2 linked regions of the Drosophila melanogaster genome follow. The protein of the gene in region 1 interacts with the protein of each later gene in a biochemical or structural test. Each region holds a gene or a part of one and is shown in the gene's direction. Other genes may lie near its edges.

Region 1 (8,485 bases):
AAGCCGATCGCAAATAGGCTCTGATTGTATATGAAATCCAGATTGGAGTTGAGCCGACAGTTGGAGGCGACATGTACATTATGTTTTAATAATGATTGAATGAATGAATTAACGAAAGACTCCCGGAGCTCAATCTCTGTGCTGTCTTTGGCATGACTATTGTTCCTTTAAACGATATTTCTCAAAACGAATAACGAAAGCTGACGACGAGATAAAATACCTAAACAATTCCATAATGTAGCTATATAGGTGGATTATGTAACGAACTATGTCTATGTGCAGCATTTAAGTTTCTCTTCATCATCTGTTCGCCAGCGGGCGTCAAGTTGGAGTTTCAATAGATGGAAAGCATACGAATTTATAATGGGTATCCGTATCCGTATCTGCATCCGTATCCATATCCGTATCTGTATCCGTATCCCCAATTCGGTTGCGTTCTCCACCTGCCGCGTTGCCTGGCCAATTTAAAACAATTTCCGAGCCAATTATGAAAATGAATTATTGTTTGTTAAGTTTTATTTTATAAGACGGCGCTGCACTGACCGAAGGGATATTTTGAGAGTATAACCCAATTTAATCAAATTTCGCAGCAATTATTTTGTTTTTTATGTTTACAATTTGTGTTTTACGTTTTAGTGCAATTTTTTGGCATACATACATATTTATACAGATATTTTTGTATTCTTTTCGCAGCGTTCTAAATGAGTCATTCTAGTTTTTATTAGTTGAATTTATAAACACAAAATTACTTAACGGAAATTTCAAGCGTAACCCGTTGATTTCCTATCAACTCGATAATATGTATCTATAAAATATAATTTAGCTATTTCTACGTATGTCTGTGCATGTGTGTATAAATCAAGCGGGCGAAGTTGTGCAATTGTTAGAAAATTTTTAAAAGAAAGATATTTAGTAAAAATACGAAAATCAGAAATCGATGTTGAAAAACAAAACGCTCGTGCAATGACAAACAAAATTTTATTAATAAAGCGTTAAACAAACAAATTAAAGACAACATGAAATATACATTATGATATATTTATATATACAAGTATGAATAATGTACGACTATTTACTATTTTTTGGCTATAGCATTTTAAACGCATATATTGTATGTTTAACGTTGAAAATGGAAAAAACAAACAAAACAAGAAAATACATCAAAAAAAATTGTAAAACTTTTATGATTGGTTGCTGTAATTTGGCAAAAGTAAAAGTGCAATTCCAAATAAAATTCAAACAACCATACAAACAGCAGGAATCTGGGTCTTTTATTTATTTATTATCTATGGAAAAACAATACTTTTTCTGGAATGTAAAACTATTTTTCACTTAAAGGCGGAAAAATAAAAATAATGCTTTCTAGCAGTGGTGATTAAATTTATTGATTCTTACTGATGTCTTCTTCCAAAATAAAATTTAAAAAAAAAAACTAGTAAATTAAAATTTTTTTCCTATTTTAAACTTCCCCGATAATCAGATGCCAGTTACTCAACTATTGGAAATGCGAACGCAAATTAGATATTGGTGAATAAAATAAGAAAAAAAATTAAAATTGTTAAAAATTGTAAGCGTGGCTTTTCGGCGGTTTGTGGGAGTAATAGTAGTTTGGCAGATCAATAGAAATTTACAAGACTAATCAAAATATGAAAAATATCACATTTTGCATAACTGTGGGCGTGGCAATTTAAAGTTTTTTGGCAGATCGATGGAAATTTACAAGACTAATAAAAATATGAAAAATGTCAAAACATTTTGAAAATGTGCGTGGGAAGTTTTGGGGGCTTTCCGTAATCTCAATTTTCTAGCTTCTTATTCATCCTGAGATCTCGACGTTCGTACGGACTGACAGATGGACGGAAAGACGGACATGGCTAGATCGACTCGGCTATTGGTCCTTATATATATAATATATATAATATATTATAATATATATAATTTATTAGGTCGAAATCGGTTTCTTTTGCCGGATACATGCTTTTCAACGAATATAGCATACATTTGACTCAACAAGCAACATGTATACAAAACATGTATAAAAATATACAAATATAAATAGAGTCCCCACTTGAATGGCCCGCCTAGTCCGTATGTTCCTATCAATAATCGATAACAGAAAACACTTTAGCTGTGCCGCTCAATAACTTATCGCCCACCCCTAAGGCCTCCCATCACTAAAAAAGACTGTGACGCATTAAAAAATCGTCTATTAAAAGTCGTCAGTTAACTCGAAACCCTCAAAAGTAAATCATGGGAAAAAAAGATAGTGAGTTGTCCCACCTGCAGGACCATACAGCTATTCAAATATATGCACTTTCCAATTACCACCCCAGAGAACAAGAAAGGAGGACAGGATAGCGCTGCAGCACCACAGCCCCAGCAGCAGCAAAAGCAACAACAACAACGGCAGCAACAACCACAGCAGCTGCAACAACCACAGCAGCTGCAACAACCACAGCAGCTGCAACAACCACAGCAGCAGCAACAACAACAACCGCATCAGCAACAACAACAAAGTAAGTGCAAAGTGCGATATATCGGCGTAGGCAAAAAATAGATGTATGCATGCATGTACATACATATGTTTTGTACATATGGATTTACCATTTGCAATCAAATGCTCCATAAACTTTCGAAATGCCTGGGAATTCCCGAATTCGTGGCAGCCATGATGAAATTCAACTGCCATGGTTGTATAGAACCTATGTATGTGTGTATTATACTTAAAGGTGAATTCTACTGTATATAACAGTTATTGAATTTCCCCTTAACATAACTAAATTAAAATTCCTTTATATTTAAAAAAATGAATTTTGCTATGAAATGTAACAGTTGTGCTTTAGGCAGAAGCATCAAACAATTAAGAATTAAAATCTGCTCAAATCTGTAAATCTTAATCTTAATTTATACCAGATCCGACATTTTAACTCAATTATAAACTTATTAAAAATCTGAAAGATGAAGCGAAATTGAACATTTGACATCAATATATCTTTACATTTAAGGTTATGTACATACAGTTTGTCAAGAAACTGTTTACACACTGTGAAATAAGTTGAATTTTTGACTTTAAAGCTAAAAATAAAGGGTTTTTTGCTTAATTAAACGCAATTTTTTTATAAAATATAATTAAACAATATTTATTTTACTTATAAATAAAAAACAAATTAAAAATATTAAATATACAAGAAAATAAACAACAAATTCCAGGTTTACACACTTTTGAGACTGTCAAGAAACTCTTTACACATTTTGTTTTCCTACTTTGTTTTGTTCTTTTTCTTAGAACGAACTCGATTTTTCCGTTATTTTTGGCTTCGCATTGCTTTTTACAACGCTTCTATTGAAATTTGTTGACTTTGCTTGTGAAATTTTGCTGATCAAACGTGCTTAAAGCGAATTATTAAATTTAATAAAATGCCTGGAAAGAGATTAACTTTTGAAGTTACCCAATTAATAAACTATAACCACCAGTTGGGAAAATCTTTTCCAGAATTAGTATAAATGTTTCCTGTATCCCGTAAGACCGTCTACAATGTTTTAAAAGGCTCGGAAAAAGAGGGCAGGCTTGAACCTAAGAGTGGTGGTGGACGGAAAATTAAAATTAAAAAGCGTGTAGACCGCTTTATTATGCGAATAGTGATTGCGAACCCCCGAATCTCGGTCAGATCACTTGCTCTGGATATCAGGCAAGAATGCCACCTAACTGTGTCACACGAAACTGTGCGCCAAGTCATCCTACGCCATAGGTACTCTTCAAGATTTGCAAGGAAAAACCCTTTGCTATCAGATGCCAATATGGAAAAGCGTCATTAATTCGCTGTGAGCATGATGGATCATGCGGAAGAGTACTGGGATGACGTCATATTTTGTGACGAAACAAAAATGATGCTCTTTTATAACGACGGGCCAAGCAGAGTATGGCGCAAACCGTTGAGTGCGCTAGAAAAACAAAATATCATTCCAACGATAAAATTTGGAAAAATGTCACTGATGATGTGGGGCTGTATCACCAGCCGTGGAGTGGGAAAACTAGCCTTAATTGAGAGCACAATAAATGCCGTGCAATATCTAGAAATGTTAAAAAACAAATTTGAAGGCCAGTGTAGAAAAAATTAGTCTGGTTAGCAACAACAAGCCAAATTTTAAGTTTTACCAGGACATGATCAGAAACATAAAGAGTGCAATGTACGCACCTGGCGCCTTAATAACTGTGGTAAAGTGATCGATACGCCCCCTCAGAGTCCTGATCTGAACCCCATTGAAAATTTGTGGACCTACTTAAAGAAGAAGGTGGCAAAAAGGGACCTAAAACACAACAACAGCTTATGACTGTAATAGTCGAAGAGTGTGAAAAGATCCCGTTTGAATATGACCTGCAAAAACTTGTCCAATCCATGAAAAAAAGGCTTCAACTTGTAGCTAAAGCCAATGGGGAACATACTACATACCAAAACTTTTAAAATTTTAATAAAATAATTAAAAAATTTAGGATTAAACTTCGATTTAGTGTTTTGTGTAAAGAGTTTCTTGACAGTCTCAAAAGTGTGTAAACTTGGAATTTGTTGTTTATTTTCTTGTATATTTAATATTTTTAATTTGTTTTTTGATTTATAAGTAAAATTAATATTGTTTAATTATATTTTATAAAAAAATTGCGTTTAATTAAGCAAAAAACCCTTTATTTTTAGCTTTAAAATCAAAAATTCAACTTATTTCACAGTGTGTAAACAGTTTCTTGACAAACTGTATGTATTTTAAAGTGATACAAATTATTTTCGCGTTAGCAAATTCAAATCAGCCAAGTGAATACTTTTCGAAGAGTTTGCTTGCAGTTTTTTCGAAACCTAACACCTATTGTAATAAACATTCTTTGTCGATTTCTAAATCTAGGTTCGAGACAACAGCCATCCACAAGCTCAGGCGGATCCCGTGCATCTGGGTTCCAGCAAGGAGGCCAACAGCAAAAATCCCAAGACGCAGAAGGATGGACTGCACAGAAAAAACAAGGCAAACAGCAGGTACAAGGGTGGACTAAACAAGGTCAACAAGGTGGCCATCAGCAAGGACGACAAGGGCAAGACGGTGGCTACCAACAGCGTCCGCCTGGACAACAACAAGGTGGCCATCAGCAAGGACGACAAGGGCAAGAAGGTGGCTACCAACAGCGTCCGCCTGGACAACAACAAGGTGGCCATCAGCAAGGACGACAAGGGCAAGAAGGTGGCTACCAACAGCGTCCGTCTGGACAACAACAAGGTGGCCATCAGCAAGGACGACAAGGGCAAGAAGGTGGCTACCAACAGCGTCCGCCTGGACAACAACAAGGTGGCCATCAGCAAGGACGACAAGGGCAAGAAGGTGGCTACCAACAGCGTCCGTCTGGACAACAACAAGGTGGCCATCAGCAAGGACGACAAGGGCAAGAAGGTGGCTACCAACAGCGTCCGCCTGGACAACAACAAGGTGGCCATCAGCAAGGACGACAAGGGCAAGAAGGTGGCTACCAACAGCGTCCGCCTGGACAACAACAAGGTGGCCATGAGCAAGGACGACAAGGGCAAGAAGGTGGCTACCAACAGCGTCCGTCTGGACAACAACAAGGTGGCCATCAGCAAGGACGACAAGGGCAAGAAGGTGGCTACCAACAGCGTCCGTCTGGACAACAACAAGGTGGCCATCAGCAAGGACGACAAGGGCAAGAAGGTGGCTACCAACAGCGTCCGTCTGGACAACAACAAGGTGGCCATCAGCAAGGACGACAAGGGCAAGAAGGTGGCTACCAACAGCGTCCGCCTGGACAACAACCAAACCAAACCCAGAGCCAAGGCCAATACCAATCTCGTGGACCACCTCAGCAACAGCAGGCTGCCCCATTACCATTACCGCCTCAGCCAGCCGGGAGCATTAAGCGCGGAACAATCGGCAAACCCGGGCAAGTAGGCATCAACTATCTGGACCTTGACCTGTCCAAAATGCCTTCTGTGGCATACCACTATGACGTGAAGATCATGCCAGAGCGTCCCAAAAAGTTTTACAGACAGGCATTTGAACAATTTCGGGTGGACCAATTGGGCGGAGCAGTTCTTGCCTATGATGGCAAAGCCTCTTGCTACTCGGTGGATAAGCTGCCGTTAAATAGCCAAAATCCGGAAGTGACTGTAAGTTGCAAGAAATTGTCTACTAAGTTATGAACAACTGGGAGTAATAACATTTTTAAATGTATACAGTGGCAGTTAAATTTAATTTAATCTATACGATATTTTAGTTGTTTTTATTTCTTATTATTTTAGGTGACAGATCGTAATGGTCGTACTTTGCGCTACACGATCGAAATCAAGGAGACTGGTGACTCGACCATTGACCTTAAATCGTTAACTACGTAAATATAAATTATGTTTTTTATGGATACTCCTATTGAACGCGCTCCTCTGCAGTTATATGAATGACCGAATTTTCGACAAGCCCATGCGAGCAATGCAGTGCGTGGAGGTTGTTTTGGCTTCACCCTGCCACAACAAAGCCATCCGTGTCGGTCGTTCCTTCTTTAAGATGTCCGATCCTAATAATCGTCACGAACTGGATGATGGATACGAGGCCCTGGTCGGTCTGTATCAGGCATTTATGCTGGGCGATAGGCCATTTTTAAATGTAGATATATCGCACAAATCCTTTCCGATTTCAATGCCGATGATCGAATATTTGGAGCGATTTAGCTTAAAGGCTAAAATCAACAATACAACGAATTTAGATTATTCGCGACGCTTCCTTGAGCCATTCCTCAGAGGCATTAATGTGGTTTACACGCCTCCTCAGTCGTTTCAAAGCGCTCCAAGGGTATACCGTGTAAATGGTCTTTCTCGTGCCCCGGCCAGCAGTGAGACCTTCGAACACGATGGGAAGAAGGTCACCATTGCGTCCTACTTCCACAGTCGCAACTACCCATTGAAGTTTCCCCAACTCCATTGTCTGAACGTTGGATCTTCAATCAAGAGTATTCTGCTGCCCATCGAGCTATGCAGCATCGAGGAAGGTCAGGCCCTAAACGTGAGTTCACTAAATTCCTTTATATCTATATCTTGGTGTTCAATACCGTAAGCTATATTGTCATTACATATACCTATAAACATATGTATTTCACAGCGCAAGGATGGAGCAACTCAGGTGGCCAATATGATAAAGTACGCAGCCACATCGACGAACGTGCGAAAGCGCAAGATTATGAACTTGCTGCAATACTTCCAGCACAACCTGGATCCGACCATCAGTCGCTTTGGCATCCGCATTGCCAACGATTTTATTGTGGTAAGCACCCGCGTCCTAAGCCCACCTCAGGTTGAATATCATAGTAAGAGGTTTACTATGGTGAAGAACGGGTCGTGGCGCATGGATGGCATGAAGTTTCTGGAGCCCAAGCCCAAGGCGCACAAGTGTGCGGTCTTGTATTGCGATCCGAGGAGTGGTCGCAAAATGAACTATACCCAGCTGAATGACTTCGGGAACCTAATAATATCCCAAGGCAAGGCAGTCAACATAAGCTTGGATTCTGATGTGACATACAGACCGTTCACGGATGACGAACGCAGCCTAGACACTATTTTCGCGGATCTGAAGCGCAGCCAGCACGATCTGGCAATTGTGATTATTCCTCAGTTTAGAATTTCTTACGATACAATTAAGCAGAAGGCCGAGCTGCAGCATGGAATTTTGACGCAATGCATTAAGCAGTTCACCGTGGAACGAAAGTGTAATAATCAGACGATTGGAAATATTCTACTTAAGATCAACTCCAAGCTGAACGGCATCAACCACAAGATCAAGGATGATCCTCGTCTGCCGATGATGAAGAACACCATGTACATTGGAGCCGATGTGACCCATCCCTCTCCCGATCAGCGCGAGATTCCCAGTGTGGTCGGAGTAGCAGCCTCACACGATCCCTACGGAGCCAGTTATAACATGCAATATCGTTTGCAGCGAGGGGCTCTGGAGGAGATTGAGGACATGTTCTCGATTACTTTGGAGCACTTGCGCGTGTATAAAGAGTACCGTAACGCCTATCCTGATCATATCATCTACTACCGAGATGGCGTGAGCGACGGCCAGTTTCCGAAAATCAAAAACGAGGAACTGAGGTGTATTAAACAAGCCTGTGACAAGGTAAGTTTTTGAATTTCCTCACTATTTATTTAACATGAAATGAAATTACCAGTTACTAGCTATGAGTTAATTATTATATTATTATATACAGGTGGGCTGTAAACCCAAGATTTGCTGCGTGATTGTGGTGAAGCGTCATCACACTCGCTTCTTTCCCAGCGGCGACGTAACGACATCGAACAAGTTCAACAACGTGGACCCCGGAACCGTGGTCGATCGCACCATTGTGCATCCTAACGAGATGCAGTTCTTCATGGTCAGCCACCAGGCCATCCAGGGCACGGCCAAGCCAACACGATACAATGTGATTGAGAACACAGGCAAT
Region 2 (5,253 bases), on another chromosome or scaffold:
TTGCGCACAATAAATTCTTCGGGAGCGACCCCAAAATTATATTATTTAACTGTAATCGTGGCCATACAAGTATACTACAATTTTAGCACGCCTGATAACCAAAATAATAAAAAGATTATAAATAATCAAGAAACAACTTTAAAAATGCTAAAACAGCATTTTGATCTCACTTGAATAATAAAGTACCTCTTAAGAGTGACTAAATACAAGTGTTTCTCCTTCTGAGAAAAATAAAATGTATTCGCTATCGAGCTCTGTGTAATTTGATTCGCTCGCTTCTGATATCAGTGAATTAATTGTTGGATCAAGTGTGTTCCTTTAGCCTTCTGGTTCTGTTCACTTACCGTAGAGTCAACTGCTGCATGTACTGCGCGTAAGCCTGCTGCATCCAGGCGTTGTAGATGAGCGCCTGCTGCTGGAACAAAGCATGGGGACTGGCACTGGCATTGGCAGCAGGTGCTGCTCCCTGGCTCTGCTGCCAGAAGTGTGTCCAGGGATTGGCCAAACCGATGTCACCCGTCACGTGTGGTCCAGCGTTGCCCTGCTGTGCCTGCTGCTGATGTGGAGCATGACGTTGTCGCAGCTCATTTGCATTCCCAGTGACCTCGGGCCCAGCTGGAACCGCATCCTTCTGCGGAACAGTGGGGGCTTTGGCAGCCGGCCTTATCACTTGCTTGCTGGCACACACCAAGTGAAATATGTGGTGCTGTTGGTAGACATCCTTGTAGCTGCGTATCACCTCAGATATCTTTTGGGAGTCATCTAATAGCTTGCCCGAGTAAATAAGTTTCTGGTCCTGGATTAACTACAGAAAAAATGGAAAGAAATAGTTATAGTGGTCAAAACATAAAACATAAAATTTCACATTATAGGTATTCAGAGGGAACCTAGAGATAACTCATTGTTGCTTTTACCTCCGCGCGAAATTTATACTATCAAACAGTGCCTAAATCTATTTATTTGCACACTCCAAGAGATAACAACTTGTACTTGTCAGTTGACTTTATGGAAATGATACTTGAAACTAAATAAATTTTTATAAATTCTACTTGATTTGCTCTGGAAATAAAGAGTGCTAATGTATTTTTTCTGCCTGCAATGATCTGAATCTTTAGTATATATCAGTGATATTGATATGTGGGATGTACATATGTACATAAAAAACTTGGCACATGAGTGGAGCGTGAATATGTCCAAAAATCTTATCACTTTCTAACCGTAACCAAATTAATCCCAGTTCCCAGTTCCGACCCATCGATTTGGCATAGACCAAGTGCATGACGCAAGTGCATGACGGCGACTATAATTTAGAGGAGCAATCCACTGACGTGTACTTGCGACTAAGACGCAAATAGCTTTGGGAACCGACACACCTATGAATCCTAAACGAAGATGATAAACAATAACAAACTTCTCGATAAGATAATGGGGCTCCTGGCCAGTTTTCTACCTATACGATAACAAGGGGGGGAACCAACTCGATAACCCACCGGTTTGCCAGGATAGATAAGAGATAGGTGCTTCTTCAGCCTCTGGACCGTCCAGCAGAGATCGGAGTCCACATTGAGATCCTCATACTGCTGGTTGGACGACTTGATGAGCAGCCGGACACTGGTTTCCGGATTCTTTTGACGGGTGGCGGCATCGCAGCCCGCGGCTGTTGCGGCTGCGGGTGGGGCGGCGTTCTCCTCCATCTGGCTGACCCCGCGAATCGGAGAACTTTCTATTGCTAATTAATGACCGCGATACGAAGATCGGTGATGGGTTTTTGCTGCGCTAGCGGGGACACTTTTTACGCAGCCACTGTTTCTCACTTCCTACTCCGCTCTGCTCTCTGCGTATTTTCGAGAAATAGTTTATTCTGAATTTGACATTTAATTTGGTATTATGCTATTGTTTGGTTTTCAACAGCTGTTCGTTCTGTGGTGTTTTGCTCGCAGCACAGAGTTATTGATTATGAAACGCAGTAAACGTTCCGCAGTTGATCAAAAACTACTCTTCATTTGGTTCTGACCTGTGGCAAGTGATGAGCGTCGGTCACAGGGCTGCCGCGAGTAGCAGGTATTTTTAAGTCGCAGGTTGCACAAACAGCTGAGAATTGATTTTCCAAAGTGTGTGGGATGTGGCAATTTAAGTACACAGTTGGAAAATATTAAAGTCGTTGCTCAAACACTTGGTTTTAGTGTTTTTAGAATTTATTCCTTTGAAAAATATACGGTATCTAGTTATTTGCAGTTGTGGATTTTGCTCATCACTGACAGCAACACTTGTTAATGCCATATACTACGCAACAGGGTTGCCTTGACTTACGGGGATGCCAACTCGCGTCATCGTGACGTGTCGATTATGTATAACACTTCAGACGTTGAACTTTGAATGAAAACACCGAATAGCATATAAAATGCATTTGCTCCTTAGTAAAAAAGTTAAGAAGGTTTGCCGCTGTTTTCGTATTCGAATTACGAATTCAATACTATTTCGTGAAAATATTTTTTTGACAAAGCGGCATAAAATAATTCATTTACAGATGTCTTCGTCAAGATTTCCTATTCTATCGTTGCCGCTTCGTGATTCGCGTGCCATCTCTAATAACATTGCAGTGCTTTAGATATTTTATAAATTATATATATGGTTATATTCTGTTGAATGTTAGCACGTCCGACGTGCCTTTTCCCCTTGAACTCATGGATAACAAGTCAGCCGTATCTGCTCTACAGGAGTTTTGTGCCCGGACACAGATTAATCTACCAACATACAGTTTTATTCCCGGCGAAGACGGAGGGTACGTCTGTAAAGTTGAACTATTGGAGATAGAGGCCCTTGGAAATGGTAAATTTAAATTACAAATCTCAACCACTATTTATATTCGTATCTAAACCGCCACATATTTATCCAATTCTAGGGCGTTCGAAGCGTGATGCCAAACACCTGGCTGCCAGCAATATCTTGCGTAAAATCCAACTGCTGCCCGGCATACACGGCTTGATGAAGGATTCGACTGTGGGTGATCTGGATGAGGAACTGACTAACCTCAACCGGGACATGGTGAAGGAGCTGCGTGACTACTGCGTCCGCCGCGAGATGCCACTGCCCTGCATTGAGGTAGTGCAGCAAAGCGGCACCCCGAGCGCCCCGGAATTCGTGGCCTGTTGCTCCGTGGCCTCCATAGTACGCTACGGAAAGTCGGACAAAAAGAAGGATGCCCGTCAGCGAGCGGCCATTGAAATGCTGGCCTTAATCTCCAGCAATTCGGACAATTTGCGTCCGGATCAAATGCAAGTAGCGAGCACAAGCAAATTGAAAGTTGTTGATATGGAAGAATCTATGGAGGAATTGGAGGCATTGCGCAGAAAGAAATTTACCACCTACTGGGAGTTGAAGGAAGCCGGGAGCGTAGACCATACAGGCATGCGGCTCTGCGACCGACACAACTACTTCAAGAACTTCTATCCTACCCTGAAAAAGGAGGCCATTGAGGCCATCAATTCAGATGAATACGAGAGCTCCAAGGATAAGGCTATGGACGTAATGAGCTCTTTAAAGATAACACCCAAAATCAGTGAAGTGGAATCTTCATCGTTGGTTCCCTTGCTTAGCGTCGAGCTTAATTGTGCATTCGACGTGGTCCTTATGGCAAAGGAGACCGATATCTACGACCATATAATAGACTATTTTCGCACCATGTTGATTTAATGCGTATAACATTTATTCAACTATTCTAGCTTAAAACTAAGTAAACTCGTTTTATTTACACTCTAGAATGCACATATTTCATTTAATCTTACGATTAATACAATCTCCACCAATTTGTAGGTGGGAAACATAAAAAAATTATTTTCAAGGTCTTTTAGTAAACATCTATGTTAACTTTGTACACGATTGAGATAGGTGTAAAAAATCCAAGGAAATAAGTAAGGGGAGTGGGTACAACAACTTTTACTTTCGAGAAGGTATAACATAATGATATTATTAATTACTTTTCGATGCCAATACCAATGTTAATTCTATTAAAATGTAAAGTATTTATACGGTCCGAACTTATTGTTTGCAACAACTGATTATAAAATATTTGAAGCAATTTACATAAATATGTATTGCACAGTGAAATTAAAAATCTGAACATTTGCCTTTAAAAGGAATGCTAGTAATCAAAGACTTACTTGAAACAAATATTTTAAATAATTTGACGGAAAAAAATGGTAAAAATGCTGCATTTCTTTTTTTTTTTACAAGTACAACTTTTATACGAATAAAAGGGGTTTCAGTCTAAAATAAATAAAGTGCTTCGTAGTCTTCAGCATTTTTGATTTTATTTTTACAACACAATGCTAAAATGAAAACTAAGCGTTCCTCTTAAAAACTTTCAACAATGTATTAACAATTTCAATGTCAATTGCTTGCCTTTTAATGGGTTATCTTATATTAGTACAATATGTTAAATAACAAATCCATAACAATTTGAAATGTTTTCCTAAAAAAAAATGTAAGTGTATAAATGAGATTGTTATTGCAAATAATTTCCTAATCAATCACCAAATTTGATTGCATTGGAATATCTAAAAAATCATTGCATTCGCCACATCAATCTCATCATCTCATCGGGAAACGTTCAATTTACTAGTCAAAATAATATTTACACAACTAAAGGAAACAATATATGATTAGTGTTCAATAGCTAATCTTCTTGCGCAGCTTGAGATTGGATTGTTGATGGTCCAGAGACTGTTGTTGTTGTTGTTGCTGTCGCTCCCGATCCCGATCCTTTTCGCTGGACGCACGACTCACACCGCGTACCAGGTGCTGTTGCCACTGGCTGGAGGAGGGCGGCGCCGTGGGTGTGGGAATACCCGAATTTGAGGCGGACGTCGATGCTGAGGAGCCGGACTCACCGAAAAGGCGCCGGGAAAGCTTGAAGCTGCCGCTGTTGCTGCTGCTGCAGCTGTTGTACTTGCAATTGTTGTTCATGCTGCTGGTGGTGGAGGCGTTTGTGGCGTGGGTGGCGTTGATCGATGTGCTGTTGGCTACAGCTGATGCTGCTGTGGCCGCTGCAGCAGCTGCCGCCGCCGTCTTCCTCAACAGCTTTGTGTTGTACTCGTCGCTCTTGTCCTTGTCCAGGCGTGTGGAGCTCAGCGATCGCTTGTTTCGCTTGGCGGAACCAGCCACCAGGCCGTGCTCGATGATCGCCTGCAATTCGGCACTGCCGCGCCCACTAAGCCGGCTTGTGTCTGCAGGATTGGAGGAGGGAGGAGGAGT

The links.
Region 2: of the proteins of AGO2 (region 1) and r2d2, one has a biochemical effect on the other in vitro, tested with the Drosophila melanogaster proteins (one study listed by BioGRID).

What each region holds. Positions count from the first base shown.
Region 1 is NT_037436.4:15,551,957-15,560,441, forward strand, and holds the start of AGO2 (argonaute 2), read left to right. Parts: upstream 1-2,156; 5' UTR 2,157-2,250; coding exon of another isoform or gene 2,251-2,266; 5' UTR 2,267-2,308; coding exon 2,309-2,516; intron 2,517-4,866; exon of another isoform or gene 4,867-4,893; coding exon 4,894-6,161; intron 6,162-6,293; coding exon 6,294-6,382; intron 6,383-6,437; coding exon 6,438-7,047; intron 7,048-7,143; coding exon 7,144-8,160; intron 8,161-8,251; coding exon 8,252-8,485. UniProt on the Drosophila melanogaster protein: Essential for RNA interference (RNAi); double-stranded RNA induces potent and specific gene silencing.
Region 2 is NT_033779.5:7,797,819-7,803,071, forward strand, and holds r2d2 (r2d2), read left to right. Parts: upstream 1-2,328; 5' UTR 2,329-2,434; exon of another isoform or gene 2,435-2,527; 5' UTR 2,528-2,684; coding exon 2,685-2,829; intron 2,830-2,902; coding exon 2,903-3,693; 3' UTR 3,694-4,280; downstream 4,281-5,253. Other genes in the region: Herp (Homocysteine-induced endoplasmic reticulum protein), read right to left, coding at 345-805, 1,491-1,694; Cdc14 (cell division cycle 14), read right to left, coding at 4,669-5,253.